Alligator mississippiensis: one gene and its partners. The protein of the gene in region 2 purifies or fractionates together with the protein of the main gene of each other region. This does not show direct contact. Links are inferred from orthologs where the notes say so. Each region holds a gene or a part of one and is shown on either strand. Other genes may lie near its edges.

Evidence for each region.
Region 1: the proteins of COPS3 (region 2) and DDB2 purify together in Homo sapiens (affinity purification with mass spectrometry; 7 studies listed by BioGRID and IntAct, with this or other methods). This does not show direct contact. The link is inferred for Alligator mississippiensis from reciprocal best matches to the Homo sapiens genes COPS3 and DDB2.
Region 3: the proteins of COPS3 (region 2) and CUL2 purify together in Homo sapiens (affinity purification with mass spectrometry; 5 studies listed by BioGRID and IntAct, counting the BioPlex papers as one, with this or other methods). This does not show direct contact. The link is inferred for Alligator mississippiensis from reciprocal best matches to the Homo sapiens genes COPS3 and CUL2.
Region 4: the proteins of COPS3 (region 2) and BTBD2 purify together in Homo sapiens (affinity purification with mass spectrometry; 3 studies listed by BioGRID and IntAct, counting the BioPlex papers as one, with this or other methods). This does not show direct contact. The link is inferred for Alligator mississippiensis from reciprocal best matches to the Homo sapiens genes COPS3 and BTBD2.

The regions. Positions count from the first base shown.
Region 1 is NC_081825.1:227,870,279-227,877,828, reverse strand, and holds the start of DDB2 (DNA damage-binding protein 2), read right to left. Parts: upstream 3,230-7,550; 5' UTR 3,113-3,229; coding exon 3,052-3,112; intron 2,764-3,051; exon of another isoform or gene 2,703-2,763; coding exon of another isoform or gene 2,690-2,702; intron 2,474-2,689; exon of another isoform or gene 2,369-2,473; intron 797-2,368; coding exon 617-796; intron 1-616.
Region 2 is NC_081836.1:54,423,370-54,431,717, reverse strand, and holds the start of COPS3 (COP9 signalosome complex subunit 3), read left to right. Parts: upstream 1-5,002; 5' UTR 5,003-5,072; coding exon 5,073-5,127; intron 5,128-7,376; coding exon 7,377-7,506; intron 7,507-8,348. UniProt on the Homo sapiens protein: Component of the COP9 signalosome complex (CSN), a complex involved in various cellular and developmental processes.
Region 3 is NC_081828.1:195,034,017-195,041,758, reverse strand, and holds the start of CUL2 (cullin-2), read left to right. Parts: upstream 1-4,409; 5' UTR 4,410-4,557; intron 4,558-4,837; exon of another isoform or gene 4,838-4,855; intron 4,856-4,933; exon of another isoform or gene 4,934-5,016; intron 5,017-7,742.
Region 4 is NC_081839.1:7,378,827-7,386,356, forward strand, and holds the start of BTBD2 (BTB/POZ domain-containing protein 2), read left to right. Parts: upstream 1-4,461; 5' UTR 4,462-4,476; coding exon 4,477-4,838; intron 4,839-7,530.

The DNA of each region.
Region 1 (7,550 bases), on a different chromosome or scaffold from region 2:
TTAATGCAAGTCTACAAAGGTTCCTGGGACTGATCACTGAATATCAACACAAAAGAATTAGCCCTTGTTTCTCTGGACAGGACCTTAAAGAATAGCGGCAGAAAAATGTAGCACCTGGCTAGAACTGGCACCCAGCTCTATGAAACAGCTTACTGTTGGCTGCAGCATGATATCCAGGTGGAAAGGCTGGTGTAAATAGCATGGTGTGTATTACTAACCTGTCAGTTATGAAACAGTGTGAGGAATTAACATGAAAAAAAAACTATTACCAGGATTGCCTGCCTACAAGGAAGCAAAAATTCAGCCATTCAAAAATTTCACAAAGCTAAATCTATGTAAACTTCCTTGAGCCCCATTTTATAGTGATGAGCTGTGACTTTCAAGAAAATGCTATATGTGCAAGCTCACTGCAGTCTCTAAACAGATTACTGGGGGAAAAATATTTATATTATCCACCCCTCATGTAGAAACATAAGCCAATCCCAATGCTCCTGTCTGAACAAGTTGTTGGCTCCTTGATATCTTCCTATGCCAGCTATCTGAAGATTTGGCTGATAGTTTGTTCAAATTAGGCCTTGTGGGCAAAAAAGAAAATGAGAGCCCAAGGGAGATATACCTGTATTCTCTGGGGGTTTCATAGCTTTTCTCACAAACAGTCTCTTTGCTTGTGGCTCATTCTCTAGTTCTCCAGATTCTCGTTTCCTTTTCTCAGCTGACTTTGCCTCTTCCTCTGGCTGATGCTCATGAGCCTTCATGTGCTTCTTTTCCTTCGGCTGGTTGGCAGGGACCATTCTGTCTGAGCAGAAAAAGCAAACAAAGTAAGGAAGCTGTAATTGTCACTGCTTATGGCTAAAAAAGAGAACTGCAGTGTAATGTGCCCTGATTATGAGGCTATGCTTGTGCTACCCTTCATCACTGCAGCGCTGGCTTTTTGCATCCAATGATGTGAGGAGGAAACACGGTTCAATAAACTGCACTTTGTGCCTCTGTGAAAATGTGTGGCTCTTAAAGCACTGGGTTATCTGTTCTAGCAAATCTGTTTTTACAAAATAACCGAGTTTAAAATTTACTAATCCGGACGAAGCACATTTGTGCAACTTTAAAATGCAACACTAGTCTTTGCAGAAGCCCTTGTTACTTCATGATATCTCTGGTCAGGCTCAGCTAGGGAAAAGGCCAAGTGCTTTTGTGGCTTAATTAGAACACGGCCTCATCAAGCACTGTCATTGAAAAATAGCTTCTGAACACATGCAATCAACTCTCCTGGACTCTTAGATCATGCTTCTAGATGCTGTAGTGACACAGCAAATACTGGAAGACTTCATGCTTTTCTGGATCATTTACAAAGAGATGTTGGGACAGAATTAATTTGACCCCACGTTGTAACGCTCTGAACTAGGTTTTCAAAGTGATCCTTTCCGTCCAAAGTGGAGAGCCTCCTACTCAGCCTTCCTCCTTGGTCTAGTATAGGAGCGTACGAAGCAGAAAACGTCAGCAGCAAATCTCAAGTACCCTCCATGGAAACTAGCTGATACTGTAACAGGCTGTTTTATTTTTAATTTGTGAATGAATGTCACCAACAACTCTCTAGCGCCAAATGGCGTTAGGTGGGCAACAAGCAAGCTTCCTCATATAGCATCCCCGAACTGGCTTGGCGCACCCTCTACCTTTCCCAGACAGGGCTTGACGTAGCTCTGGCAGCACCCAGCCTATCCAGCACGCCTGCACAGCCTTGCTGCCGTCTGCCCATCCTCACCCGCAGCTGGGGTGGCCGTCACAGAGGACGTTCCGGCTTTCTGCTACTCTGTCCACTATTGATACGGAACCGGACGCCTTCATGCCCTCTCTTTTTCTCTTCAAGAGAAAAAACAGAGGACATAAAGGCATCTGGTTTTGTACCAACAGAGAACACAGGATAACCAGACTGTCCTCTATGATGGCCACCCCTACCCACAGCCCTGGAGGCTATTCCAGTGCCGGCATCTGAGGGCCAGTCTGGTTGGCACCAAATCAACTCCAGGGAAGGGATGGCCCAGCCCCACCTGCCCATACGCTTCCCAGCGCCAGCGCCTCGAAACCTTTGAGGCCCCCTTGAAAAGTGCCAGCTCTTGGCTTTCACTTGCTTTTTTGGAGGCCGGAAGCATGACAGAGCTGCGGGCCCCAGGGGCGTCTCTGGGCTTATGGGGTGCACGGCGCTGGCGCAGCCTGGAAAGGGACCCCTGGCACCCCGGGGCGCTGCCCGAGGACCGCACGGGAGGCAGTGACGGCGCCCCAGCTACGCCGCATCCACCTGCCCCGGGCCCTGGCGCCCCGGGCGGGGGGCCGCGACCAGCCAGAGCCCCGGCACCACCCTCCCCGCGGCCCTCACCTGGGCTCCCGCGGCCTCCGCTCCCCGCCCGCCCGGCTGCAGCGCGCCCTCCCCGCCTCCCCGCCCGGCCTCGCTCTAGCCGCGGGCCGGGGCTGCCGCGTGAGGCTGCGCAGGAAACAGGCCCCGACGCGCCGGGCTACGCCTCCGCCTGCTGCAGCGCCGCCCTCTGCGAAGGGCCTCCTGGCTCCCCTGCACGGCCCAGGGCCCGTCCTTCCTCGTCACGGAGAAGCCGGGCTGGAAGGGGCCTCCAGGTCGTCTCGTCCAGCCCCCCGTGCCTGAGGCAGGCTCAGCCCTATCCCAACTGTACATCCAAACCTCTACCTAAGACTGTCATGCACGAGCCAGCTCTGCGGCCACTGCTTTGGGCTCACGTGAGCAAGGATTCATTTAAGCAGCCAAGCTGGAAGCCCAGGGGGGGTTACGCCAGCCCTCTCGCCTCAGCAGGGAGCGCAGTGCCCAACATCTGTGTGACTCTTGGCAGGACTGTGAAGATGGACCATGACCAGGCATGGGAAGGCTCTGGCTCTTGCTGAAGACAAGAAGTCGTCCCTTAAAAAGTGAAGTCTTAACTCTGCAGCGTCACTGAGGCAGCTGCGCTGACAAGCACCCCCGTGGCAGCTGTGTTAGGGAGAGAAATCAAAGAGAAAGTAGCAAGGTTTTGTCCCTGCCACAATAATGCTTACCTGGACAGCCCCAAATCTCGACAGGAAAAGGAGGCCAGCAAAGCAGCCTGTTATCAAACATGTTTTCTAAGCTGGTGGTTCTCAACCCTGATAGCCTCAAGGCATCTCTTGGCAAATACCAGTGGCCATTTTTCCCTTGTTTTTTATAACTACAGAAAAATAAGAGAGAGAGAGCTGTTCTGCCATTGAAAAGAACTAACAAAGACCACACCTGGGCAGAATGATTTTAACACTTCGGATTCCTAGTTGAAATCTCTGGGTTTATTTTGTGGATCGTGTTTGCATATCTAACAGTACTAACGTTGTGTGGTGCCCCGTGGCACCCTTGAAAGGATCTAAGGCACCCCAGGATACGTGGCACCCTGACTGAGAATCACTGTCCTAGGCCTATATGTGAAGACCAGTTTGGTCACACACAGAAGTTTACAGAAAGCTTCTGACATATCATTTGATAACAATTTATCAGGTTCTTAAATGTAGGTTTCCTAGACAACCTTGTTTATCGGTTTTATTTTTTGTTTGAGTGATAAACGGGTGCATAGGATATAATTTTGTGATGTCGGTATGGGCTTCAGTTAGTGTTCCCACACAGAGCTATCTGACCCTCACAAGACTACTTTCTAGGGTTGTTTTCAAAAACAGTCTCTGCTTGTAGTCTAAGCCAGTGATTTTCAACCTTTTAAGTAGCAAGTATCCCCTGACTGCTGAAAATTTTAATGAGTACCCCAACACTCAATTTTCCCAGGGATTTTATATTTGCAGACTAACGTGTTGGAAGAAGGGCTGTGTATATAAGGCCATGATATGACAGATGTCTGATCTGGTGTGGGTAGGGTTGCCACCTTTTACACCAGGGGTGCACAACTCAAGTATGTACCTGGGCTAGAGGTGATGTTGGCCAAAGCTAGGAAGGCTGAACCCAGTGCCGCACAAAGCATGGCATGCCAAATTATTATTGGGGAGTTTATTCCAATTTTTTTTATTCCAATTTTTTTGCCATAGTTTTGAGAGCAGGAAGGGGCAAGAGAGAGAGGAAGATGGGGAGAGAAAGAAAGAGAGAGAGAGAGAGAGGAAAAGAAGGTGAGAAAGAGATAGTGTTGGGGTACCTGCATACCCCTTGCCTGTGTCTTGTGTACTGCCAGGGGTATGTGTACCACAAGTTGAGAAACTATGGTCTAAGCCAGGCAGAAGTAGGGAGGGAAGGAGTAAGGTATATTAATTCAGAGTCAACTGCCACACTACTACAAGGGAACCATGTTTATCCAGACCTGTTAAGCCTGTTGATTTGTGAAGTTTGTGTCACCTAAACCTAAACAACAACAACACTAATAATAGATGTCTGGTGAGGTCCAAAAAGGGCTTTATAGTAACCAAGAACTGTACTACATAAATTGAAAAATGTTAGAAACATCCACAAGAAGTTGCAGCTGCATATTAGAGATCAAGGAAAAACATGCATTTAGAATGTAGCTAAAGCAAATTCAAGAAATACAAGATGCAGTCTAGCTCAAATTCAAGTTGCAAGATCACTTCAGAGACCATTAGGATTCTCTGGTCTCTGAACTGATAACTGGTACTTTACAACATGCAGCAATGGAGGATAAAACAGACCTAAGCTATCACTACTTTGCACTGCACCTTGGTGGGTCCTTAACATGCTACTCCTATAACCATTCAGAATAGTCATCCCTACCACCAGCTTATACATACAAATCCTACGATATCTGTGTGTGCAGTTCTCAAAAGATACTATTGCTGCAATGGACACCTATGTATAGATAAAAATATTTTTCTTCCTACTGGAATATAATAATGTTGCATCAGTCACTTACACCCTATATGACAAACATAACATATTGGATATAGCAACTTATTAGGTGGGGAAAAACTATACCCACCCATGGAAAACACTTAGCTCCCACTACATTATTGTATATGTCAGCCTCTGCACATAATTTTCAATCATCTTCTGCAAAAAAAAAACCCAAAACACAGCATCCTTTTCAGTGCTGAATCAATTCATAATCATTCAAACTAGCATCTGTCATCAGGATACAAGACTCATGAAATCCCGAGGACCTGTTAAACTAGATCCCTCAGGAACCTAACGGGGGGAAAAGACTTCTTACTGTATACAGGAAAGGGAAGTGTGTTCAGCAGTATTCACAGTTTCCTAGAGACTACAAAGGAAAGAGGAACCTGTAAAGTTAAATAATAGATAGCAAAAAGTACTGATTATATTACTTCCATCTTAACCTCTACTGTTTTCCTCAGAATTAAAAAAATATAGATTCTTACCTTTCCACTGAAAAGGTAGGGATGAGATGGAAAAATTCCCATTGACTTCAATGGAATATGAAACAGTCCCAAAGTAAAGAACAAACTGTGATCCTGTTGTGCTAACTTTGCAGAAAGTTGTTTCCAGCTAAGATGTGAAACTCCCTTTTCCTATCCTGCTCACCTTCCTGAGGTGTTAACCGGAAAGTGGCCCAGAAGAGATTAGGCACAGTAACCTATGGACTTTCCACCTAACTAGAGTGGAAGTGATTAATTAATCTTTAAACAAACATGAGGGGCTTTTTTTTAAATCAAACACTAACACTGTCCTGATTTTCCCTTTGGAAACTCAACAGGTACCTTGGCAATTACCATTCTTACATAATTTGTTAAGAGCCAACTGTGCTGGATGTTGTGCAAGTCACAGAAAGAAACAGACCTGAAAGATAAAAGCTTTTGAGAAACCCTTATGCAGTCAGAAGACAACAGGAAAGAATAATTTTAATATAATAATGTTATTACTTGTATTACTGGGTCCCAGTGATGGTATAAATTCAAACAAGTCACAGGCCCAGTAGCAATCACAATTTTAGACATGTCTAACACTTCATTCTGCTTGGACAGGGTTAAAGTATCTGGAACATGACTGAAGCCCTTTCTGTACTTTGAGGGTAGCAATATTATAAGGGAGGGTCCTGATTTGGTGGTATATGTAGAGGTAATTGGGCCTTTTGCTTCACAGTGCCTGGATCTTTGCTAATGGAAGGTTTTGCTTTCTTGGACTATATTAGTTTGTACTTATTCTTGTAATTTTAAAGAGTGTAACATCTGAGCAACTTGATTCTCACCAGGACATGGAAGCAATTAAGAATTCCAACAAACCAAAAACATTAGGGAAAAAAACTGCGTAACCCTAGCAAAACTGAACCTCCTCCTATCCCAAGATCTTTCCCATCAAGCTGCCCCTGCCCTGAGAGAAAGAAGGTAACATTATCTACTTATCTCCTTCTTTACCTGGACACTCTGTCCTTTATGAGCCACACCTTCCTCCCAGAGGAAAGGAAAGACACATTAGAGAGAACATAGCATGACATCAGTGACTCAGAGACAGAAACAGGAGACTAAACCTCACACATGGTATGAAACTTTGTCTTGGGCAGTTGCTGGATACACAATATCTGCCTCTGACTGCTGAGATTTTTCCTTTTTCACACTTCGAATTGTTAATTGAACTAATGTATTGAAAGTGACATGAACTATGGTGGAGCATCACATTATGTTACAGAGGTCTACTAGTTTCTTTCCTCTTGCCTTCATTACAATATGAACACACTGATTAGTCTTTCCTCTCACTCATCTGCTTATGTTTTCTGGAGTAAGGCTTCAGATCTCAGAAGGGCATTGGGTGCTTCATCACTTTTGCTCCCCAGGAACTGGAAGCAATTAAAAAACAAATGGTCCCAGAATACACTCTGAATAACCAGGCCCAACAGTCATGGAGTGGATTTGTCAGTGCTACGAGTGATCTTTCCTTCCTGCCTGCCTTCTGTGGGGGTTTCAATCTTCCCTTTCTACTTTGATTGAATAAATGTCATTGTGAGTCCATAACTGATCCTGGTGTTTGATCCTCTAATAATTTAGAAGCAAGTGACAGGAAAATGGCCCAGCATGGACCTTTCACTCCCTTAACTTCATGCTGAATCATGGCCAAACTCTGGTTTAGAAATGGAAACTTTGGTGGGAAGACACAGCGGGCAGGTCTACACTTGTGCTTTAATTAATAGATTCAGAAGGGACCACAAAGGATCATCATGTCTGACCCCCTGCCCCTGGCAGGAAAGAGGACCAAGGTCAGATGACCCCAGCCAGGTGTCTATCAAGCCTCCTCTTGAAGACCTACAAGTTAGGTGATAGTACCACCTCTCTTGGAAGCCCATTCCAGATTCTGGCCACCCTTACTGTAAAAAATGTCTTCCTAATGTCCAACCTGAATCTTCTCTTCACTAGTTTGCATTCATTATTCCTAGTTACTCCTAGGGGTGCTCTGGTAAATTGTGCATCTTCAATTCCCCATTGTCCTCTGTTGATAAACTTATAGGCAGCTACAAGGTTCCTAGTTCCAAGGTTCCCTCAGATGTCTCTTGTGGAGGCTGAAGAGATCCAGATCCCACAACCGCCCCTCATAGGGTCTTTCACGAAGGCCACTAATCATGCGAGGGGCC
Region 2 (8,348 bases):
CATAAGTCTATCAAGGGGTGACTTGAGTTGAAAAAGAGGGAGAGAGAAGGGGTCATCCAGTCCAACCCCCTGCCTAAGGCAGGACCGTCCCTATCCAAACCATCCTATACAAATTCAGAACCACTGCAGGAGAGCCTTGATTATCCAGACTATTTGGGAAGCGTCAAATCAGTGTTTGGCTCATGAAACATGTATAATGTTTATATTTTTAATATGTACATATTAAGCAAACAGCTATGTTTATAATACATAACTGATATGCAACCTTTTCCAGGGTGGTGATTATTTCAGTCTTGCTCTCAGTCACCAGAAACATTCTCTTCCTTTCAGTCACCGTGATCCCACGCTATGCAGGATGGCAGCTTGTTCTGCATCCTGTTTGGATTAAATAGTTGGGAAGATAATCGGTATTCAGATCATTAAATCTCTACTGTCCAGTCCTCGCAGTATACTGTATGTATCTGTCTTTACCCCTACACTGTGACAAATGACACTCACTGAACCGGGGATCTTGGTAGATCTGCCATAGTAAACAGGGCTAGCGACAGTTTGATTCCCCGCCTGAGCATCCCCAAAGTCTGGAGATGGTGATGTGTAAAGACCAAATCTTACTCTTCAGTATTTCACACGATATGGTCCCAGCTCTGCTCACAAACACCAAGTTGCTTCACACGCTCTAAAAACTCTTCTGGCCTGTCTGAGGCACACGCAGGATCCAGTTGACATGAACTTGTTTGTGTAAGGGATTCTCTCCAAATCTTCTCATTAATCCTTGTTCTAATAATCATTAATCAAAAGTAATCCAAATTCATAATAATATTGTGATATACTTCTGACTTCTGATCCACCCACCAGATGGCTTTGGGATACAGTAAAAAATAAAGCATTTTTGTCATATAAAATGTGTTGAATGCAAACTGAGTTGTAAAGTATATACTTTGATTTGGAGAGTAGATAGATGATTTCACTTGCAGGCCAGGACAACACCCACTTTGTGATTATTGCTAGAACATGGGGTTGGGGTGCAGAGACTTAAACTGCATAAATTTCTAATGCTCCAGGCTAATATGAGTGAAGCTGTTGTCTGACAGAGCGTATGGCTTAAAAAAGGACTTTTAGCAAAAACTGCCAAACCTGAAAAAGCTTTCCATGGCTTTCCATGGCTTTCAGCCAGCATGAAGGATACAGGTGGAACTTAAGTGTCAGGATGAACTAGTGATGAGCCTTAGACCCTTTTTAATATGCTGGTTTGAAGCTGGTCAGGTCAGCAAAAGCCATTGTCAATGATACATGTTGGATGGCTCTCATTCCAGGTCTCAGAAGATAAGTGTCCATATAATTAATATGTACAAACACCGGAGCTGGCCCTAATTGTCACCGTTAGTGACAGCAAAGAAGCTAAGTATTAACAGGACACAACAATTTATGAACCCAGAATTCATACAAGTCGTGGCTGAGCATATGGATGGTAGGCATTGCATCCGGCGGGAAGGCTTCCAGCATGGATACTTCTGTTGTATTTTCTGTGGGCAGAGGTTTTCCTGAGCTCAGGACTGTCAGGGTAGCACTTTTCATCAGTGCTAAACTATCACAGAAATGTTCTTTAAAAAAAAAAAAAAAAGGAAACAGGAGTTGCAGTTACCTTCTGATGCTGACCAGTATGAAGCAGGATTGCTCCTCACATGGGTCCTCATTTGTCAGAACGACTGGGAGACTTAAAGTATGCGAGGGGGCTAATAGGCAGGACTGTGCTCATCCTGGCTAATGTAACCTGCTGGAGTCTTCAAACACTATCTGTTCCACAGAAAGGATATCAGTGGTTTTAATGAAGCAACCACAGTTTCCTGGACCTCAGAAAGACACGTGAAGCACTGGGGCTTTACATTACAACATTACACCCTTTAACGGATTTATCAGCTCTTAGCCCATAAATGAGAACTAAGTTTCGTAACAATGGTGTAAGTGGACACAGAAATATGGGGAGTCCAGACACAGTCATCAATAGACACTAATGCTGATTTTAATTTGGTCTTGAGACTCAAGTTGAGAGTTTACTCTTTGGATACAGAATGCCTAATTCTTTGTGGAAGGACCATGTTCCTTTAGTGTTTTCACAGACCTGAGAAGAGAAACCTGTCATGAAACACGGCTCTCATCTGCAAACCTGTGTGTGTGTAAAGAGATTTTTCAGTATATTCTAGCAAACTTCATGGAATATACATGGTTCTTACTTATACTTTTATATATGTATAACAATGTACCTTATTTTTAGATCCTCTGGGCTACAGGGCTTTATGGAAATTAAAATATAATTTTACCATGGAAAGATTTTAAATAAGATACCTAGGTAGAAAGGGAAGGAATTTCATAGTTATAATAAAAACCTGCTCCCTTTCATTTTGTTTCCCAGAGCAAATTCTCATACAATGAGTTCTGAAGAGAGGTTTTTTTCTTTTAGCTAGCTGCGGTCTGTACATATGCAGAAGGTGGGTTCATAGATTCATAGATGTTAGGGGCTGGAGGGACCTTACAAGATCATCGGGTCCAGCCCCCCTGCATTTGGGATGTTTTAGGTTAGTCTATTCAGAGAGGAAACAAATGTGTAAGGCTGCGTTGCTGACAGACACAGTAACAATCAACCATGAAGAGTGTGTGTATTGTGGTCCATAATAAAAAATGAATACCGAAAGATGACAGTTGGAAGGATTAAGCTGTTAAAGATGCATGAGTGACAAAGATTAGGCAGCTGCTAACATTGGCAAGTGGGGTGAGATATATCAATTGCTGGCCATACTGATACTTTGCACTTCCATAGTTCACTTCCATACTTTCATCTTTGGACGCTACCGTTCTTTTCAAAGGACAACATTATTATTATTATTATTTTTCTTTTACAAAAAGAACCACTGGGGTACAGGAAAGTATAATGCCTCTCCCATGGTCACAGAGTGAGTCAGCAATACAGAAAGGGAACAAAAGTCCAGGTTGTTCTAATCACTAGGTCAGGCTGAATATAACAGAAGGTTGGGAGGGAAGATGTTTAATAGTTTCAAGACTATATTCTCCTCTGACTCAATATTTCATCCCACGTCTGACATTTCTGATAAAACAATGATAGCCCGTGTATGGCTTTCACACTGCAGGGCAGAAAGACCCTGTTCATGTTTGTGGTATATCAGAATACACTGCTTCTGTTCGCACGAACGCCTTATACTTGGCAACTCCTGAATACTGTGCTTCGCAACTTCATGCTGGTTCACATGGTACCGCTCTCCTCTACAGGGTGGAATCTGAGCTCCCATTTATACCGACTGAAGTATTCATGCTATGGTCGGGGGCCAAAGCGTGCCGAATCCTGTCAACAGTGCTGCACACGTGTGCTAGCTGACAACTATCCGCTCACTTGAACTCAGCCACCTTGAAAGGAGTAACTCAGGTAGAGATAACTTGAGCTGACTTTACTATGAGTGGTAGATGTAAATGGTAGATGTAAATATTGCTTTTATTGGTATTTATATCTCAAATAGTAGATGTAAATATTGCTTTTATTGGTATTTATATCTCAAATGGTAGATGTAAACACCACTTTTATTCCAGATACATCTTCTGTTTGTGAAGTAATCGCAGCATTGGAAAACACGTTGAATTTCTCTGCACCAAAAGCTGTGGTAAAGGTGGTATAGTATGTGCAGCCCTCGGCTATTTGCATTGTACGACCATATTACAATCAAGCACTGCAGAAACCTGATTTTTATCAGTGCGAGGCAAAAGTGTCGACAGATAAGTAGGTATCCCTTTTGCTTTCAAGAATGATAGATACATAATTAATTCGTCATTGCGTTTATAACAGTCATTTCAATCAGGAACTCGCATAACTATGCTAAGTATTGTCCAATGTACTCAATGGGCCCAAATCTAGGTGACCACCTGATTGCTTGTTTCTTGAAAAGCTGCCAGAAAATGATGGAAAGAGACGGGACGACGATGGAGCGATGTGCGTGTAGGGTTGCCAAATAGTTTGAATCTATTCCGGGAGATTTCGGGAAGGCCGACATGTCGGCGACACACAACGCAGACGTGCCCGCGTGCTTGTACGTATCCACGATGGATTTTGGTGTGTAGACTTGACGCCAGGAAGGCACAGGCACATTACTATTACATTTAACAAACCCACTGGCCTACTGTATAGATTGGATCTGGGTTTTTGGTCGTAGCCGTGTTGGTCTGAGGACATAGCTGGCGCTTTCGTGGACCCAGCGGGACAGCCTTCCATCTTCAGCTCCCTCTGTGCAAAAATGAAGCTTATTCCCTACCGATGGGGACTTTCCCCAGAGCCTCGCGAAGGGACTTTGGTCCCGAAAGCTTGCAGAAAAGGACAGTTTTCTCACGATTTCCCAGTTGATCTAATAAAAGTTCTCATTTTGGAACCCAGAGTCCTAGTTTTTTGTACGTCTTCCAAGGACATCGGCATTTACTATTTGTGTTAACGAACGCCCGGTCATTTATCTCCCGGGTGACTCTCAGCCGTTTGTCTCTGGGGATCCATGTTTCATTCCTGGAGGGCAAGTGTGATGTCAGAACCGTGACTGAGGCCTGTTGTTGTGGCATGAGGTAGGCATGATGTCAGCACGATGACAGATGCGAGGACCCGTGGACAGGCGTCTGAATAGGGAGAGGGGCCCTGTCATTCCTGACAGCCAGCGCTGCCCTGTGGGTGGGCTGGGGGCCATGTTTGCAACATGACAGTGACGACACAGTGACGTGAGGGCGGCGATGACGACACCACAAGCTGCTGAGTCACCACTCTGCCAAGTAAAATGGCCTCGAGGGCGGGGAGGGGGCGGGGCTGTTTACAAGAGCCGGCGACTTCCGGCTGGCGGGGGTCGCCCTGGTAACGGCGACAGGAGGAGGCCGTGCAGCTCTCGCGAGGCGACGCGGCGGAAGTGACGCGCGCGGCCGCGGGTCTCGCGGCGCCCGAGGCGGCGGGGGATTGGCTGGCAAGGGGCGCGTCGCGCGCGGAGCCTCCTTCCCGCTTCCCCCGGCCGCCCCGGCCGCGCGCCCGAGCCGCCAAGATGGCGTCTGCCCTGGAGCAGTTCGTTAACAGCGTCCGGCAGCTCTCGGCCCAAGGTGACCGGCGGGCGGGTGGGGGCGTGGCGGCTCCCTCGGCCCGGTCTCCCGCGGGGCCGCCCGCCAGCGCGCGCGGGAAGACGGGGCGGAAGCCCCCCACCCCTGGGCCTGTCAGCGCAGCGCTGGGCCCCGGCCGGCTCCCCGCCTGCCCCTTCTCCCACATACCCCCTCGGCTGCGGGGCAGCAGGCTCCGGCCTCGTAGCCCCGATCACCCGTTTTATGGCGGCTGTCGGGAGCAGGCTGTGCACTGTGGCAGCGGTGTTTCTATTTAAAAAAAATGAAATTTCCCCGGAGAATAGCACGCGGGGAAGAGCAGCCCCGTGGCCGCGCCTGGGGTCGTGGTCCAGGCGATACCTTGTAGGGGACCAATGAGATTTCTGCCCAAAACAGTCTTCAATTGCAAACTGCCCGTCAGGCGTGGGAGAAAAGGTGGTACAAGTTGTCCTGGGTGGAAGCGAGCTCGGTGGCGGCCGTAAGATACAAAAAGGCGGTTGTCGATGGGAGGTTTTGTCGCTTCAAACTGGACTTCTCTAGTGTGAGAGGAAAAAAAAGATTTTAATATTAAAATGTGGAGCAGGGGCTCGGACCAGGCCCTTTCCGACCCTGGAAATCTATGAAATATTGTCATTTTTCTCAGTGGTGTCTTTAAGTCTTTTTTTTTTTCCCCTCCCTGTGTGGGCCTAGCGCTCCCGGGCACAGTCGGTGCCGGTTTCTGAGCTTCCCTGTCTCTTCGATTCACTGTTTAACGAGTGGAAATAGATAGCTGCCTTTTCATATTAGCTCGCGTAACATAGTCGTGTCAGACAGGCTTTCTCTTAATTTTTAATTTTTGCCTCTGACTCTTGTTTTTGCATTGGGCTGGAGTTTTGTTTTGTTTTGTTTTCTATTGCTGCACGTTGTAGCTCCTTGCATATAAGGGAGTTTTCTGCAGTGCCCTTTATTTAGGATTTTGTTCACACGAAAGGTTGTCGGTGAAGCTTGTGGATGACGGCAACGTTTTGACTTTTAACTGCCAGCAGGAAAAAGGATCGAAAAACACGTGTTCACGACACGCGTACCGTTATTGAACCTCATCATGTTTTACATTAGTCCGCTCAACAGCTCTTGTCAGCTGGCTGCGGGCGCGAGGCAAGAGTCCCGGAGCCGTGCTGCTTGGCACAGTTGACGCTAGAATCGGTTCTTGATGTCCAGGCCTTTATTTGGACCACACTCGTCTTTGAAAGTTAACCTTTCACTGTTAAACCTTGTTGGTGTTTTATTTTGACTCTGAGGAAAAGGTCAGAGAGAATTTGAGAAGAGCAGTCATGTGTTTCCATTCATGAATAGACTCCTACTCCCAAAGGTACTGGGCGGTGATGCGAAACTGTTTTGTTTACATCTAATCTGGAAGCGTTGACAGCTGAAACAGTGGCTGCATCAGATGCCATCCATTGAAGACCCCAGTACCTTTGAAAACTGAATTCAAGGCACTTTACGAATATAGCATCCGCCTTTTAGTCCTGCCCGTCTTCAGAAATCGAGAAAGCATGCTAGGTCTAAGATGTTTCTTTTCCACATGCCTTGTCAAAAACTCACAAAGACTAAATCACAAGCGACTATATGCAGTATTGTCAGATATGCAAGTAAACTTGGGGGGAAAACAGATTAGGAAAATATATTTTTATCCTAAAGTGTTACTTGGAATTTGTTTTCTAAAAACATTAGCTGGAATACAGCACGTAAGAAGTGCGATGGGCAAACCTGTAAGAATTGCTCGGATGCCCAAGGAGGAAGAAGCTGCCCTTGGACTTTCGTGTGTAGATTCTCCCATTTTCTTAGGTGCTGGTAGGGAAAAGAAAAGATTTAAATAGCAGAGAAACTGGCCAGAGCCTTTTAAATTTCATTTTGTTGCAGCTCATCAAAAACAGAGTAGCTCCTGAGACGCTGGTAATTCTCTCTGCAGACTAGGGAAACCGACTCTGCATTGGTTTATGTTCTGTTATTTGGTTTTGAAGGCTTTTTTGCAGCCAATAAGTCAGATGGGGGGGGTTGGGAGGGGTGTTGAATGATAAGCTATTGTGGGGTCCCCTCAATTGGTCTCAAATTTTGGTTGCTGCTAGAAGACAACTTAGTTGACTCTCTTATTTATTTATTTATTTTTTTTGCTTAAAGGCAAAGCAAGGAGATGTTAAATAAGGGAACGCATGACCTTTCAGTGTGCTTTGCTTGGTGTTGTAATTGAAAATTGACTGCAATATTTCATGTTTTAGGGCAAATGACCCAGCTTTGTGAACTGATCAATAAAAGCGGGGAACTGCTAGCAAAAAATCTCTCCCACCTGGATACAGTGCTTGGTGCCCTGGATGTGCAGGAACATTCTTTAGGGGTTCTTGCTGTCTTGTAAGTGATACTTTTCTTTCTTTATAGGCTTAATTTAGTTTTAACATTGAGAACTTCAGGCAGTGCATGCTGACATGCTACCAAAGGTGTTGCTTTTGGACACTTGCATTTTCATTGTGCGGTTCTTGTAATGTTGCTTAAATTCTTTCCTGTGGCGCATCTTTTGTGAAAATATTAGGATGTTCATGTGTTTCAGCTTTTTCTAATTTCAGTTCCAAAATGGCTAAAATACCATGACTTACAACGCAAATTAAGTTTTTCTTGGCTTTGAGCAAACATCTGTTTCTTGTTACATTTAGGCAGTCTGGATAGACTAATGCTTTTGCCAGTGGTTCAACAAAAATGTCATGTTTGTTTTAATGTTTGATAAATGAGTTATTGACAAGCTGGACTCGCACTGTGAAGCAGGATGTCCCTTTATTCACAGTGTGGCATTGGCTGCTTTTGCAGGTTTGGACAGCTCTTGTCTCCTGCAGGGGAAAGGATAGGCTGGCATTCCGCAGATTGAGATAACCAGTTCAGCTAAATAAATTTTTGGGAGCATTGATGAGTTACTGAACAGAGGTCTCTACAATTTGCACTATTGTTACACTTTTAAAATAATAAATTGAGATGCATTAGAAATTGATTTGTTAAAATAAATTAACTGCTGTTCCTTGGTGCTTCCCTTTGAAACAGAGAATAGTACAGCTCGTATGTGTATGGTACTTCACTTTGTATACTGTCTTCCACAAGCTGGATCCCAAAAAGATGTTATGTAATTAAAAAACAAAAACAAAACAGACCACCTGTGTCAAATCACCAATGGTGAAGGTATCCTGTGGGTGTAAGATAAAGCAGTT
Region 3 (7,742 bases), on a different chromosome or scaffold from region 2:
ATTTCCCCTGATCTCTCCCTCCTGACAATACTGAAAAGTGCAATGTTCTCTTTACTTAAACAAGGAGGACTTGCATTAAATTAAATCAAATCAAATCATTATTGCATTAACTAGAGCACAACACATAGAACCTAGTGTTGAATACAGCCAGACTTTCAGAAAACCATGAGGAGGCCCTTTTCATCTGCACAGTCACACCCACTTTTTTGCACACAATAGCAGCAGTTGCTCCACGAGGTGGATGTTCTATCAGCTGAAACTAGATATGTAAAAGGTGAGAGAGGGACTTCCTTCCTCCCAGATTTTCTTATAAAATTTTGTCTAATAATGGAGCTGGAAGTGCAGTATCTGAGCTCCTCTACCACTCTTAGCTGGATGGAGGTGGCGATATTCATTTCCTTGTTTCCTGAGGTTTCTTAGGTGAGCAGCAGGTGATTAGACCAAGGCAAACAAATGTAGCATAGTCTGTTTGGAAAAGATAAATATACTATGTCAGGGAGACTGAACAAATGTATCAATTTCTAAAAGAAAAAAACCTGATAAGTGATGTGTATAAGTATAAGGCTGACCTGGACAGGCTCAGCAAGTGGGCGGACGAGAACCTGATGGTGTTCAACGCTGATAAATGCAAGGTTCTCCACCTTGGGAAGAAAAACCCACAGCATCCTTATAGGCTTGGCAGTGCTACGCTGGCTAGCACTATGGAAGAAAGAGACTTGGGGGTCATCATTGACCACAAGATGAACATGAGCCTGCAGTGCGATGCTGTGGCTAGTAAAGTGACCAAAACGCTGGCTTGCATCCATAGATGCTTCTCAAGCAAATCCCAGGACGTCATTGTTGCCTTGTACTCGGCCTTGGTGAGGCCGCAGCTGGAGTACTGCGTCCAGTTTTGGGCTCCACAATTCAAAAAGGATGTGGAGAAGCTTGAGAGAGTCCAGAGAAGAGCCACGCACATGATCAGAGATCAGGGAAGCAGACCCTACGATGACAGGCTGAGAGCCCTGGGGCTCTTTAGCCTGGAAAAGCACAGGCTCAGGGGTGACCTGATGGCCACCTACAAGTTTATCAGGGGTGACCACCAGTATCTGGGGGAACGTTTGTTCACCAGAGCACCCCAAGGGATGACGAATAGGTTGAACGGTCATAAACTACTACAAGACCGTTTCAGGCTGGACATAAGGAAGAATTTCTTTACTGTCCGAGCCCCCAAGGTCTGGAACAGCCTGCCACCAGGGGTGGTTCAAGCGCCTACATTGAATACCTTCAAGAGCAAACTGGATGCCTATCTTGCTGGGATCCTATGACCCCAGCTGACTTCCTGCCCTTTGGGCAGGGGGCTGGACTCGATGATCTTCCAAGGTCCCTTCCAGCCCTAATGTCTATGAAATCTATGAAATATGTTGGAAAGAAGTAAACTGTAATTGGGTTTGTTTTGGTTAATGAAACACATAAGTACTTCTTGGAAGAAAAATCTAGAATAAAGGTTGAAATCTGGAGAAATTTAGAATGAGGAAAGGGAAAAATCAAGGTTTGAATGAGCCAGTAAGAAGATATTTGAGGGAAAGTAATCTATAAATACAGTATATACATATTATACAAGTATACATAGATTCATAGATGCTAGGGTTGGAAGGGACCTCAACAGATCATCGAGTCCATTCCCCTGCCTAGGTAGGAAAGAGTGCTGGGGTCAGGTGACCCCAGCCAGATGCCTATCCAGACTTCTCTTAAAGACCCCCAAGGTCTTAAAGACCCCCAAGGAGAGCACCACCTTCCTTGGAAGCACATTCCAAATTTTGGCCACCCTTACCATGAAGCAGTTTTCTGATATCTAGCCTAAATCTGCTCTCTGTCAGTTTGTGACCATTGTTCCTTGTTACCTCAAGAGGCGCCCTGGTGAACAGAACATCTCCGATCCCTTGCTGCGTCCCCCTAATGAATTTGTAGGTGGCCACAAGATCACCTGTCAGCCTTCTCTTGCGGAGGCTGAAGAGGTCCAGGTCCCTCATTCTCTCCTCATAGGGCTTGTCCTGTAAGCCCCTAACCATACAAGTGGCCTCCTCTGAATGCAGTACTCCAACTGCGGTCTGACCAATGCTGCATAGAGGGGAAGTATCACCTCTTTGGTTCTATTTGTCATGCATCTGCTGATGCACAATAAAGTGCGGTTAGCTTTGCCGATGATTTCGTCACACTGATGACTCATGTTCATCTTGGACTCCACTAGGACTCCGAGATCCCTTTCTGCTTCTGTGCTGCTGAGAGAATCACTTCCTAGCCAGTAAGTGTGCTGGATATTTTTGTGCCCTAGGTGTAGCACTGTGCACTTGTCCTTCTTGTACTACATCCTACTGTGTACTGCCCACTTTTCTAATCTGTCCAGGTCTGCCTGCAATTGTTCCCTTCCCTCTAGAGTGTGCACTTCACCCCACAATTTAGTAACATCTGCAAACTTGGACAGAGTACACTTCACACCCACATCCAAGTCACTGATGAAGATATTGAAGAGTACAGGTCCAAGTACTGAAACCTGCCAGACTCCACTACCCACCATCCTTCCAGGCTGATACTGACCTGTCTACTACCACTCTCTTGGTGTGGCTCGGTGAGATGTGCCAATGTTCCTGGTGGGACCAAAGCTGGAGGTTCCTGGCTAGAGGGACTTGCCCCTCTGCTCAGGGTCTGGCAAATAGACATGTTTGGGGCCAGAAGGAATTTGACTTCATGGTCAGATTGGTACAGACTGGGGGGAGGGGGTTGCCTTCCTTTGTAGTGGGAGCAGGGCTTTCTTGAGCATATATTAATAATCTTTCACAGAAACAGCACAGTGGTTACTGTGGTTCCCCTGCTTTACCTGTTGCAAGCTAGGGTGTTAGGAGTGTGTTGTTTCAGGGTTGATGGTAGACTGATGGAAAGTTTAGATGATGGGTTGTATGGCATGGTTTGGATAGGGATGATCCTGCCTTAGGCTGGGGGCTGGACTAGGTAACCTCTGGAGGTCCCTTCCAGCCCCACTTACTCTGATTCTGGGAAGAGTTTGCAACATATGAAGAGTAGGGAGAGAGAGGAGTCCCTGGTGGGGGTGGTGGGTGGTATGAAGCTGTGAGAATTCCCTGGACAACAAAATATTCCGAATCCTGTGGAAATGTGAAGCTAAGGGTCTAGTTTAATTGCACATGGGTTTTTTTCTTTCATAAGGGTGCAGGGGGCATGAACCTAGATTCTTCACCTATGTGCAAACTGCAAGCTTGTTTTATTTTCTGTCTCAGTCCTTAGCTCACAGGAGCTGGAAACATGCCTGGTCTAGAAAGGCAAGGCATTGGGGGAGTTGCTTGCAGTGTGAACCGAGGGGATGGGCAGCAGAGGTGGATGCAGATGCTGGTAAGAGACACCATCCTGCCTTCAAGTGCCCTTGGCATATGGCTGTGGCAGGTTGGGTGTTGGGCTGACCATGCTGGTGCGTGTATGGCAAATGCCCATGGGGTGGATGGCAGGTGCCTGCCAGTTGCTTCTAGTGGGGATCAGCCCTAGCTGGGCAACTCCTAGCCCGCATTTACCTGCTGAGGGGGTTTCTTCCTATGTCCCAGCTGGAGCAGTGACATGAGCACTGTATCCCAGGCCACTGTGGCACCAGGCCGGCTAATCCCAGATGAACTAAGCCCAGTGTTGCCAGGTCTTAAATATTTAATAATTGTATTGGAAGCTCAAAATGACTGTATTTGCTGAAAAACTATGAAAATATGCAAATATGCCTTTTTATTTACTTTATATTGCTCACTACAAGTCCCAGCGCATGAGTGAAAAGTGGGTCAAAGTTGAAGCATTTCTTTATTTCAAGGCAACCGGTCATAAGGAAGTGCTAGCAGCAATCCCCAAAGTCAGCTAAGCCCCCTGAGAGGAGTGATTTGGGTTTTGCATATGCTGCATCAGTGAGCTAGCTGCCTCAAAAATTATGACAATCAGGACTCGTAGTAGAGATGGTATCTTGTATTAGACCAACGAGATTTTTGCAAAAAAAAAAAAATCTTTAATTTTTTGCAAACACCTTGTTGGTCTAATAAAAGATATCATCTCTACTACAAATCCTGATTGCCTTTTCCTGTAGATCAATACGACTACAACCTGGATACCTACAAAATTATGATGCGTCTTGAACACTTCTACCGCTACCCATCGCGTGCCAGCCACGGGCTGAAATGACAGCCCACCCCACAACACCGACCCAGCAGCTACTAGCAGGACTCGCGCAGGCGCAGACCACGACACGGAGACCAGCGGCGCATACGCAGGGTGGAGGGCCTGCATGACCTACGCGTCCGCGGGGTGGCGGTGCTGCGCATGTGCAGGCGGCCGCGGCTCTGCCCCGTGACGCCGGCCTACAGGAAGAGGAATTATTTATTTATTTTGCGGCAACGGAAGTCGGGATGAATTTGGGCCCTCCGCGCTCGCCGTAGTGCGGCCTGTACTAAGCCCCTCTCTGCGCGGGGGGGGGCGAGTCCTCGCCCGGCCCGTTCCCTCTCGCCCCGGCCGCTGTCGGGGGGAGCCCGGCGGGCGGTGAGTAGCGGCTCCGGTAGCCGCGGGGACGGGAATGCGTGGAGCCGGGCGGGCGCGGGGCAGCGGCCGGTGATGGCAGCGCGGTGAGGAGGGAGCGGGGCAGGGACCGGCAGCGGCGGGGCCGGCGGCCTTCGCACTTGCGCCCCTGCTGCCGGCGGAGGGGCCTGCGCGGGGACCCCCGGCTCCGCCCGGCCAGGCCCGGCCACTTTCGCTTTCGCCTGGGAGTGGCGGGTGCCTCGGAGCGGGGCTCCCGCCTACGGGAGGAGCAGCCCGGGCGACGCCGGATGCCGCTTTCCCGGTAGGGGAGGCCGCTGCGCCGCATCTCCGCGCCTCGGGCCTAGTCGGGAAGTTTTGTTTGGACTCCTGCTTCCCGCTCCGGAGCCTGTGAAGCACTTGAGCCAAGGCGCAGGCCTGCAGCTTTGCTGACCTTGGGCACGACCAGAAAAGGGGCCGTCTCAGGTTGGCGTCTTGTGGCACCGTCTGGTTTAGATGTACCCAGAGAGGGTGGGTGGCAGCCACAATCCTCCGCCTCCTGCCCGGCCACGGGAGCGGGTAGAGCCGACCGGGAACACTTCAGTGGACCATGCTTGTACAATAAGTGCTGAGGCAGGGCTTCCCGAACTTGTTTTTCCTCAGCATGACCCCATGCATGGCCTCTTGCTCCCAACCCACAGCCCCCACCCCCGGGGTCCCAATTTAGAGTCGCAACCCACAGTTTGGGAACTGCTGTGTTAGGGATCCTTAGTGAGCTTGTAGACAGAGCCAAGATTTCTGTTTAAGCCTTATCTGAAAGCATCCCCAAGTTTTCTAGTGTAACTATGTTACATAGAGATGATTTATTAACTCCTTTTTATTTGTTGTAAAAGACTAGCTTTACTAAAGTACATGTTTGTATATATTTTTATTAGAATTAACCTTTTTTGGAATATTCTAATATTATAAAAACCTAAGAGGGGCAATTGGCTAGTATACTTACAAAATTCTTCCTCTAATTACTTGCAACTTGTGTCCCTCTTTTGGCACCTCGTGTTACTGTCATGTAGAAAATACAGTATTCCTGGATTCCTGAAGCTATTTTTCTTTGACACTATTAATGCTTGTAGTAGAAATGCAATGGTTAGAATGTTTCTAAGTACTAATGGATCATTTCTATTTCTTGATTAAAAACAACAATTAATACTAACACAAGCTTTATTCCTGTTTTATAGAACCTCGTAAAGCACCTTGATGTCACTGCCAAGTTGTGACATGATATGAATATGTAGAGAGGTAGTAGTAAAGTTAGTTTATGCTCAAGAAAGTTCATGCATCTCTGATTTGGTTAGCCAATAGAGTGCATCTCTACTCTGCCTTCTGCGATCATATGGAGGCCATGGATGTTATTGATTTTACTCTTCGATCTGGATTTATGCTTGTGTAAAAAGAAGACTTTTTGATTCCTGAACTGGAGAAACTTAGTTTCATTCAGTTAGTTACCCTGAGTTTGTTTAAAAAAAAACCAAAACCAAGCAAACATATAATATTATTACTTACAAACAGTAGGAGAGTTTTACAATTTAAAAAGGTAATTAAATACATAGGTTTACAATTTCATTTGCATAAATCCACCTGCACGGATTCCCCACTGAGTCCAGAGAGTTTCTGCACAGGACTGCACGATCCGTTTTAGGATCAAAACCTTAATTATAGCTATAAAATTATAATTATGTAGTTGGATGTTTCTCCATTGGACTGTTAAGCAATCCACAATTCTTAGGAGATTGGTTGTGTGTTCCTTCAGTCTTGTACAGGAGGTATCCACTTCTTTAAAATTCTCTGTTACTAGGTGTTTCCCTGTTTTGTATGTCTTTCTGATCTTGCATTTCTAGGCAGAGTTGCTTCCTATCTTCAGAAGATTAACTACTTATTTCCACCTTTTGTTTAGTACATCTTACATCAGGGGCAGGCAATTATTCTGGGTGGAGGATCGCTTACTGAGTTTTGACAAGACATCAAGGGCCGCATGACAGGCAGCCGGGGCAGATAAATATTAATTTTCTAAATTTTTTAGGGGTCCCACAGGCCGGATAGAAGTGCCTGGCGGGATGCATCTGGACCACGGGCTGCATTTTGCTCACCCCTGTCTTGCATAGTCTCCAGACAGGACTATTCTTGTGTGTGCAGTGTTTGTTCAGCATAATAGGGCTATTTTTATGTGTCATGTAGGCATAATGGTGATACAGTCTTCTCTGGTTTTATTGTCAGTCTTTGTCCCTTCTTGTCCCTCTAAATTGCTTGTTACCTCTTTCCTATTTTGTGTCACTTCAAAAACAAAACAAACAAAGACAAGAAAATCCTAGATAAATCCTCTGGGGTGTGATAAAAGCTTACTTTGCTGAGTTGTTTTGCTCCTCCATAGAAGGAGCAGCAATTTCCCACAGACCTCCTAATTCCTAATACTTGATACTTGGTAACCTTCTGAACAGTGGTACCTGTCTTCCTGGCTCTGGAGCCAGTTTCTTCTAGTCATTGGAAGAAACTTTTGCTTTGGTTTACACTTAGTTCACCTTTTTAGAACTTTTTCTTTTCAACTCTACGTCAGACTCTTGTATCAGAGCTTAAATTAGACAAGTATAATCAGTTTCCACATGCAAACAATTCCTGTTTTATTTTTTTATGACTAGCTTTCATTTTTGGAAGAAAGATGATGCTGAAACTGATCAGATCTGAGGTGTATTTAGTTTAATAATGTCTCCATCATTGTCCAAAAGATGTAAAAAGTCTCCAAAATAAGCAGTTATGGGACAACTTTCCTGTACAAGAAGTTTCTTTAATCTCTTATTGGAAGATTGGTAATGGCCTGAAACATGGGGGTTTGTTTTTTCCAAACACTTCAGGCTTTGTATCCCAATGTAACTTGATGTTCTCCTTCATGAAAATGTCAAGCTCCCTTTATGAATCAAACTTTCTCCTATTGCAGAGTTTTATGGACTACTGCTTAAGTAACTTAATTGTTGGTTCAAAACTTGCTGGTTCAAACCACTTGCATTTTTGTTCTTAGTGTGAGAAAATGAACAGGAATGCTCTGCCTGTCTTCTCTAAATAATTTGTATGTATTTCTTAAGTTCCTTCTTTGTTTTCTCTTAAGTATGAATCTTTTTTTTCTGATCTGAGACCTGCAGAATGCTGGCTTTTATATATAGAGA
Region 4 (7,530 bases), on a different chromosome or scaffold from region 2:
AGTTTTGTGACTGCTGAAGTGGAGCTGCTGTTGTGACTTGGTGCCTGAATTCTGCTTCAATTCTACTCAGGCCCTTGTTTACCAATCTCCTTAGATGTCTCCAGGGTTAGGAGGTTGCTAAATGTGAGTTTGAAAATTGATATTTTGCCCTTAAATGTTTACAGTGGCAGCTAGGCAGCACGTAAGTGTAGAGCTGATCCTGTTATAGGTCTTACTGTGGGTCCTGGAACCACTAACTTTGATCGCACGAACAGTTCCACTTAAAAACTAGGACTATACATGTAAAGAACCTGATGTTTTTGTAGCCAGGCATTCGGGAGCATCCATCTGTGTATGCCACACACTTTTTGTTCAGTGTCAGTATATGTCACACAGCAGGATTAAACAGCTACTCCTAAATGGCATCAAACCACTTTAACCTTGCTGGACATTCATGCCATTGCTGGACTTGACTGGTTTTTTAGACATCAGAACTTTAAAAACGAATGTGAACAGAAAACGGTGGAACAAGAAATCATCCGCAGACTGGATTGCTTTAAATTGAGACTACAGAGTTTTATCCCTTTATCTGGATTAGCTTTTATAGGCCCGACCTCCCTCTGTGGGTTAACTCTTTTGGCTTTCCCTCTCCTACTCACCTTGCCTTTCTCAGAAGTGCCCCTACTGTTTCATCCCCACGTCCCTACCCTTTGTATTCAAATCACTGCTTTTGTTTAGTAGCTCGGCTTTCTGCAGTCCCTTATTCATAGATTCATAGATTTTAGAGTCGGAAAGAACCTATTAGATCATCAAGTCCAACCCCCTGCCCCGGGCAGGAAAGAGTGCTGGGTTCAGATGACCCCAGCTAGGTGTTTGTCCAATCTCCTTTTAAATACCTCCAAGGAAGGGGACAGCACCACCTCCCTTGGAAGCGTATTCCATATTTTGGCAACCCTCACTGTAAAGATTTTTTTCCTGATGTCCCATCTAAATTTGCTCTCCTTTAGTTTGTGGCCATTGTTTCTAGTGACCCCGATGGATGCCCTGGTAAACATCATATCCCCTATTTCCTGCTGTCCCCCCCAATGAGTTTGTAGACGGCTACAAGATCACCTTTCTCTTGCGGCTGAGAGGTGATCCTTCACAACCTCTGATGAAGAAAGGCTTCTGTTTAGGAAAGCTTATACTATAATATACTTCTCTGATTTAGTTAGTTTATAAAAGTGAAAATCTACCCTGTCTTCCGCCTGATACAGCTAACTACCTCTCTCTGAAATGATACTGCCACAGTATTCCTTGGCAATAGCTGCTTGTAGTGATGTCTGTCTGAAACGCCTAAGCCACACCGTTCTTGCAGCTCTGGGCCAATACAAATGCCATGTCAGGATGTATTAGGCAAATGATAATGAAAGCCATAGGAAAACAGTACAGGAAGATAATACATCCCCGGGGGCTGAGCAGTTTCTGAGCCAGTGGAAGCAGGGATCTAATGCACGGGCATACACATCTGAGGGTAGAATAGGTAAGAGAGGTGAGCAGGGAACATTGATCACATCTTGATGAATAATAAACCACCCTGCTTTAATAGTTTGGCCGCTGAATTCAGACCTGTGCAACTGTCTTGTCTCCTAATGAATTTCTCCACCCATCCTCTGCCTTTCAGATTCATCCTGACCTTCAAGCCATTTTCTACCTAGCAATAACAGCTGGCTCCAAGACAAAAATCTGTTGTTATCTGCCAGTCAGTGCCCACAGCCTGCTGTTATCCCACAGGGCAGCAAGGAGCAAGCTTGCTAACATTCCCACTGGGAGGTTTGAGGGCCACAGTGAGATGGCAGCAGCATGTGATTAGGGGAGGTACCAGGCTGGTGTGAAATACCCTTTTTCCCACAACAGCTGTGAAGCTTGGAAAATTGTTTGGTGGGGGGACAGGGTTTTCCAAAACGATCACTGTGAAGCTGGCTTGCATCTGCATAGAGGTGTAGTTAGGTGTTAGTCTGCAGTCAAGGAGCAGGCAAGATAGATTTGCACCTTATAAACTAAACAAAGTAGAAGTAAATGTATATTATCACAGGCTTTGGTGAGCTGAAACATTTGTTGAAGTGAACTTGAAAGCTTGTGCATGTGTTCTCTCTCTATGGGTCCTGCCACTTGTTCAAATTAAAGCTGGATAGAAACCTGCTAGAGTTGTTACACATTTTCAAGCGCTAACTTGGTAGCTGGTTGACTCTCTTTGTACCTGGATGGGCAAGTGATAATAACTTTGCAAGTGAAGGTGGTCTAAATTCATTGCGCCATTGACCAGTTAATTGCATGATAACTACCTTACATCTGTGGCCCATCTAAATTTAGTGCACAATTAATCAGTCAGTAGTGTAATATCTGTACATGTAATGTGTAGCAGGGTCCTACAGGTACACAATCATCCACCTGAAGGCTGTGCTGTGCTTTGCATGCCATAATCCCATGCCAGTGCTGGATCAGAGGCCACATATGCAGATCCCAGCAGAGGGCACAGTAGAGTTGCACCTTAGATACTAACCAAGCTAGATATCTAGATAGATATGTGTGGGCATCTATATCTATACTACACGTCTACTTTGGTTATATATAGTAGATCCAGAGATACCTAGTGAGACAACATATACTACACGTATAGATCTACATTGGTCTCCAAGGTGCAACTCTACCCTGCTTTCTGCTTGCAGATGCACAGGTGGATCCTGACCAGCCCTGGTAGGGGATACTCAGGTGCCAAGCTGCTCCCCGGAGACTGCCAGCAGAAGGCAAGCCGAGGCACCGCCTGTGCCCACCGGTCTCTCAAGCTGCTCCCTCCCCACAGCCCCCCACTCCCCTCCAGGCCTCTGCCCTGCCAGCACCCCAGGGCACTGTCTCCCTTGCAGTGACCTGCACCTGTGTCCTCCCCCCATGCAGCCTTGCCAGCTCTTAAATATGAAATCATCATATTGGAAGCTCAAAATTCTTGTATTTGCTGCAAAACTATCATACACTGACCGCCCCCCCTGCAAATAAATAAGTATGCACATAAATCTTATTTAACTCTGCAGTGAGTAAGTGAGAACTGGGTCATCCAAGCAGAAGCATATCTTTATTTTGAGGCAAGTCGTCATAAGAAAGTGCTGACGATTCTCAGTGCCAGGCAGGGGAAATACCAGGTTCACCATGGTGGTTTTCCTACTGACAGGGGATAACCATGAATGTGGCACGGGGGTAGTACCCTCACCGAGGCAAGGCATGGTTAGCCTCCCACTGTCACTTCCAGTGGGAAGATCTCTGCTACACGCCGACTTCATGGAAATAGGAGACGACTCCTCCCTAGCTTGTTTCTGCCGCCGTACGGCTGAGGACAAGCAAAACTCGGGGCATCCGAACCCGCAGCCTCTGGGCTCAGGCCTGCACGTAGGACGCCCGCCAAAGGATTTGGAAACATCTGAAGCCCCAGTCGCGGGTGAAGGGTGCTTGCCAGTAGCAGGGCCACACACGGCTCCTGAACGATTCACGTGGATTTGGGATTGGTTTGGCCGACTTGACTTGGGACATGAAAAGGGGACTCTCAGCGCCAGGGCTGGATTAACCCTTTAGTGGGCCCCAGGCAAGCACGCTCGTGGGCCCCCAGCCGAACTTTTTCTATTACTTTTTTTCACTTAATAATCGTAATATGTAAAATAAGCACAACCGGGCCCCTTCTTCACTTGGGACAATAGGCACGTGCCTCGTTCGCCTACGCACCGCTCAGAGCCGCTTGGGGTTGGCATCCGCCGCCTCAGAAACGATCCCGTGAAGCCATCATGAGTTATCTTTCTCTGCAAGCTTTTGGCCACACGCGGCCTGCTTGAAGCAGTCTTTTTTTGCAAGCTTTCGGCCACACGTGGCGTCCTTCAAACGATCTATTTCTGTAAACTTTCGGCCACACGCGCCCTTCAAGCTTTTTTTTTGTGCGTGCAAGCTTTTGGCCCCCCGCGCCCATCTTCAAGCGATGTTTCTGGCCCCCCGCGCCCTTCCTCAGGCTCAGGGGCACGGAAAGGCGGTCGTTTGCACCATCTTGCATTTTCCCTGAGCCCGAAAGCTGGCAGAAAGGGATCATTTTTGAGTTTATCTTATTTTTTTTTAAGGTCAGTGGGGCTCATCGCTTTTTGCCTCTGCCAAACAAAAAATAAATGTAAAAGCAATGAACATTTTGGGCGCTCCGAGCCTGCGCGGTGCAGCGCCGCGACCCCATCACGCCTGAGGGGAGCCCGCTGCTCCCGTCGTGCCCCGCGCGCCGCGGCCCCGCCCCCTCGGCCGGCGGCCCCGCCCCCCCAGCGCCGCGGCCCCGCCCCCATGCGCCGCTGCTGCCCGGCGCTGTGCGCGCGCTGCCCCCCCGCCCCGCAGGGGGCGCCCCCCGGCCCCGCCCGGCCGCCGCTGCTGCTGGTGCTGGTGCTGTTGCCGCCCCGCCCCCCGCCCGCCCCGCGCGCGCCTGCGCCTGCTGCGCACAAGATGGCGGCCGGTGGGAGCGGCGCGGGCCCCGGGGGCCTGTCGTCCTCCTGCCCGCAGCCGCCGCCGCCCCCGCCGGGCAACGGCGCCGCCGCCGCCCCGGGCCCCCCCGCGTCGCCGCCGGGCCTCACCTACAACCAGTGCGGCGCCGCCAACCCGGCGGCGGGGGGCGGGGGCGCGGGCCCGGCGGCGGCGGCGGCGCTGTGCGGGGCGGGCGCGCTGCAGCGGGAGCCCGTGTACAACTGGCAGGCCACCAAGCCCACGGTGCAGGAGCGCTTCGCCTTCCTCTTCAACAACGAGGTGCTCAGCGACGTGCACTTCCTGGTGGGCAAGGGCCGCGGCTCGCAGCGCATCCCGGCCCACAGGTGCGCGCCCGCCCCCGCCCAGCCGGGACCCCCAGGGTGGGGGTGGGGCCCTGTGCTGAGGGGGGAGGGGGCTGTGTTTGTGGGGGGCAGGGGCAGAGCCCCATGTTGTGAGGAGGTGGCCCTGTGCTGAGGCCAGGGGGAGACCCCCATGTCGCAGGGGGGAGACCCCTGTGCTGAAGGCGGGTGGGGGGGAGCTGAGGGCTCCTTGCGCTGAAGCATCATGGCTCGCTTGAGCTGCTCTTTCTGCCTTGTGCGGGCTGCCGGCGGGGTGAAGGGGAAGCGGGGCCTCGCAGGCTGGAGCGGGTCCCCCCGCTCGCTGCCCTGGCGTTCTCCTGCTCACTTTTTTTGCTTTTATTTTCCCTGTTTTCATCCCTCCGGCTTAGCTGTCAGGTGACCCCTCCCGGGGCGTGCCCGCGGGTGGGAGACGCGTTGTCTGCCTGGAGACCCGGGCACACGCGCAGAGCTTCGAAGACGTAGGTTTAGCCTCCTGCGGTGTGAAACCCTGTGGGATGCGGTGGCAACACGCGGGTGCCGTAGCGGAGCTAAAACGCTAACGTGATGCCCCTTCAACTCTTTTGGCTCACGCGGCTCTTAAGTTTTTAGTACTGGTGTGTACCCCTGCGTTTCCAAGTGATAGAGAATTAAAAACAAAATTTGGTCCCCGCAGATGTGATGTCACCTCTACAGCAACTGAAGGAGAAAGACTGTAGACTTATTTTCTTCCTCCCTCTAGTTCCCTTGTACCCGTTGACATTTCCCTTTCCCTTGTTCTGCTTTCTTGTTCCTCTCTGTAGATGAATGATTCTCAACCGGGGCAGCATGGCATCCTGGGGTGTCCTGAGAGCCTTTTGAGGGTACAGCAGGGTGCCGTGCAGTGTTAGCCCTGTTAGGTGTGCAGACACAATTTTCAAGATAAAGGCAGGGATTTCAAATGGGAATCCAGAGTGTTTAAGAATATGCTGACTTGTTGTGGTGTTTCGGTGTTCCTTGCAGAATAATCGCTCTATTCTTCTGTAGTCAAAGCACAAGTGAAAATTAAGAGCCAGTATTTTCCAAGGGATGCCTGTCATGTAAAAAGGTTGAGAAATGCTGTTCTAGACCAGTGGTTTTCAACCTTTGTTCGTGTGTGGACCCCTTAGGAATTTCTGAGTGGAGGTGCAGTCCCGTTGAATGGTACGTGTGGGTTTTCACAGACTTTTGATTGATCATAGTCATCTTTTGCAGACCCCTTAGACGTAGTCCACAGACCCCCAAGGGTCCATGGACCACAGGTTGAAAACCACTGCTGTAAATGTTTGCCATTTACTGTAGCTTGACAAGCGCTGCGCTAAGACCGTGGCAGTCTTACTGTGAAGTGTAAATCAAGCTTCAGCAGGTTTGAGCAAGGGCTGCTTAGGTCTAATGTGCAAAACAAGATAAAGTCACAGTTTAACAGCAATGTAGATCTGTTTCAGAGTTAATGCTTCTGGTTTAAACACTCTTGGAGATTTTGGGGACTTGTTAAATACTTGACCTTAGACAGCAGTATGGCGCTCTCGCTACACTTGAGCTGTAGAATGGGTCTAACTGTTGCAGTTTTCTACCTTTGAGGAAAAGAAAAAATGTCATTGAGGAGTGAGCCATCTTGTTTTGATCAGCCTGCAGAAATACAGCAAACTAAATAGTTGGTGGATTATACTTTGAAGCAGTCCCAGATTTTATTTTTATATGTACATATGTACATACATACATATTTTCTTCTAGCATCAATGTGTTAACCTGTATCTTCGATGAGCAATGAAAACTGTGTGTTGGCTAACATGTAAAACATCTAAGTTGGTATCTATTTCCTTCTTTTTTTTTTTTGTTTTAAAGAAAGGAAACAGCAATGATTTTTCTCTGAAGTGGAGCTTGAGCTATTTCTAAAAAACTGGTTAAGGCAGAGTGGGATGTACAACTAAAAAATCTGAGCCTAGGAAAGAAATAATATTTTCAACTGGATATGAAACAGTTTAGACAGTTACTGTAGTGATACTTACTCTGTTCACCCTTAAGAAATTGTAGTTCCCAAACTGCGTATCCCTGAAGAGTGTGAAATTGCCTTGTTTTCAGTAATACTCATTTGGTTAATATGACGCTGCTGATTCTTGTGGCAACTCCTTTTAAATATAGGGGTGCATTGATGGACATCATTTGTCATCTGCTGTTTGGGGGGACATCTGATAAGTTTCTTTCAAATGACCCATGGATATCAGTGCCCCTTATATAACCACAGTGACCAGAGCAGCCAGGGATTCATTGAATTTTTAAGATAAAAAGTTTTAAGTGGTGATTTACCAAGGCATTCTCACTTGGAACTTATTATCGTATTTGCTTTATCTAAAATATGCATGCAGTTACCTTGACTAGAAACTTTTTTTGTCAAGTACATTGGTTTCTAGTTTCTCATTTTAACGAAACTTCTTCTGTGGTATTAGGAAAATAGGAGGATTTTTGTGTTGCAGTTAAGTGCCCTTAAAAATAAGCTTGAAAACACTAGTGATATTTGAGTTGATCACATTCCTGTTCTGCAGTTCTGAATGCACTGCTAACCAGGCAGTGGCAAGTGGGGAGGGGCACTTAGCCAGGAATAGGTTGTAAGGAACTTTTTAAAACCATTTTCTTGATTTCTGAAATCCACACGATGCTTTCTGGTTCATGGAGAGCATACCAG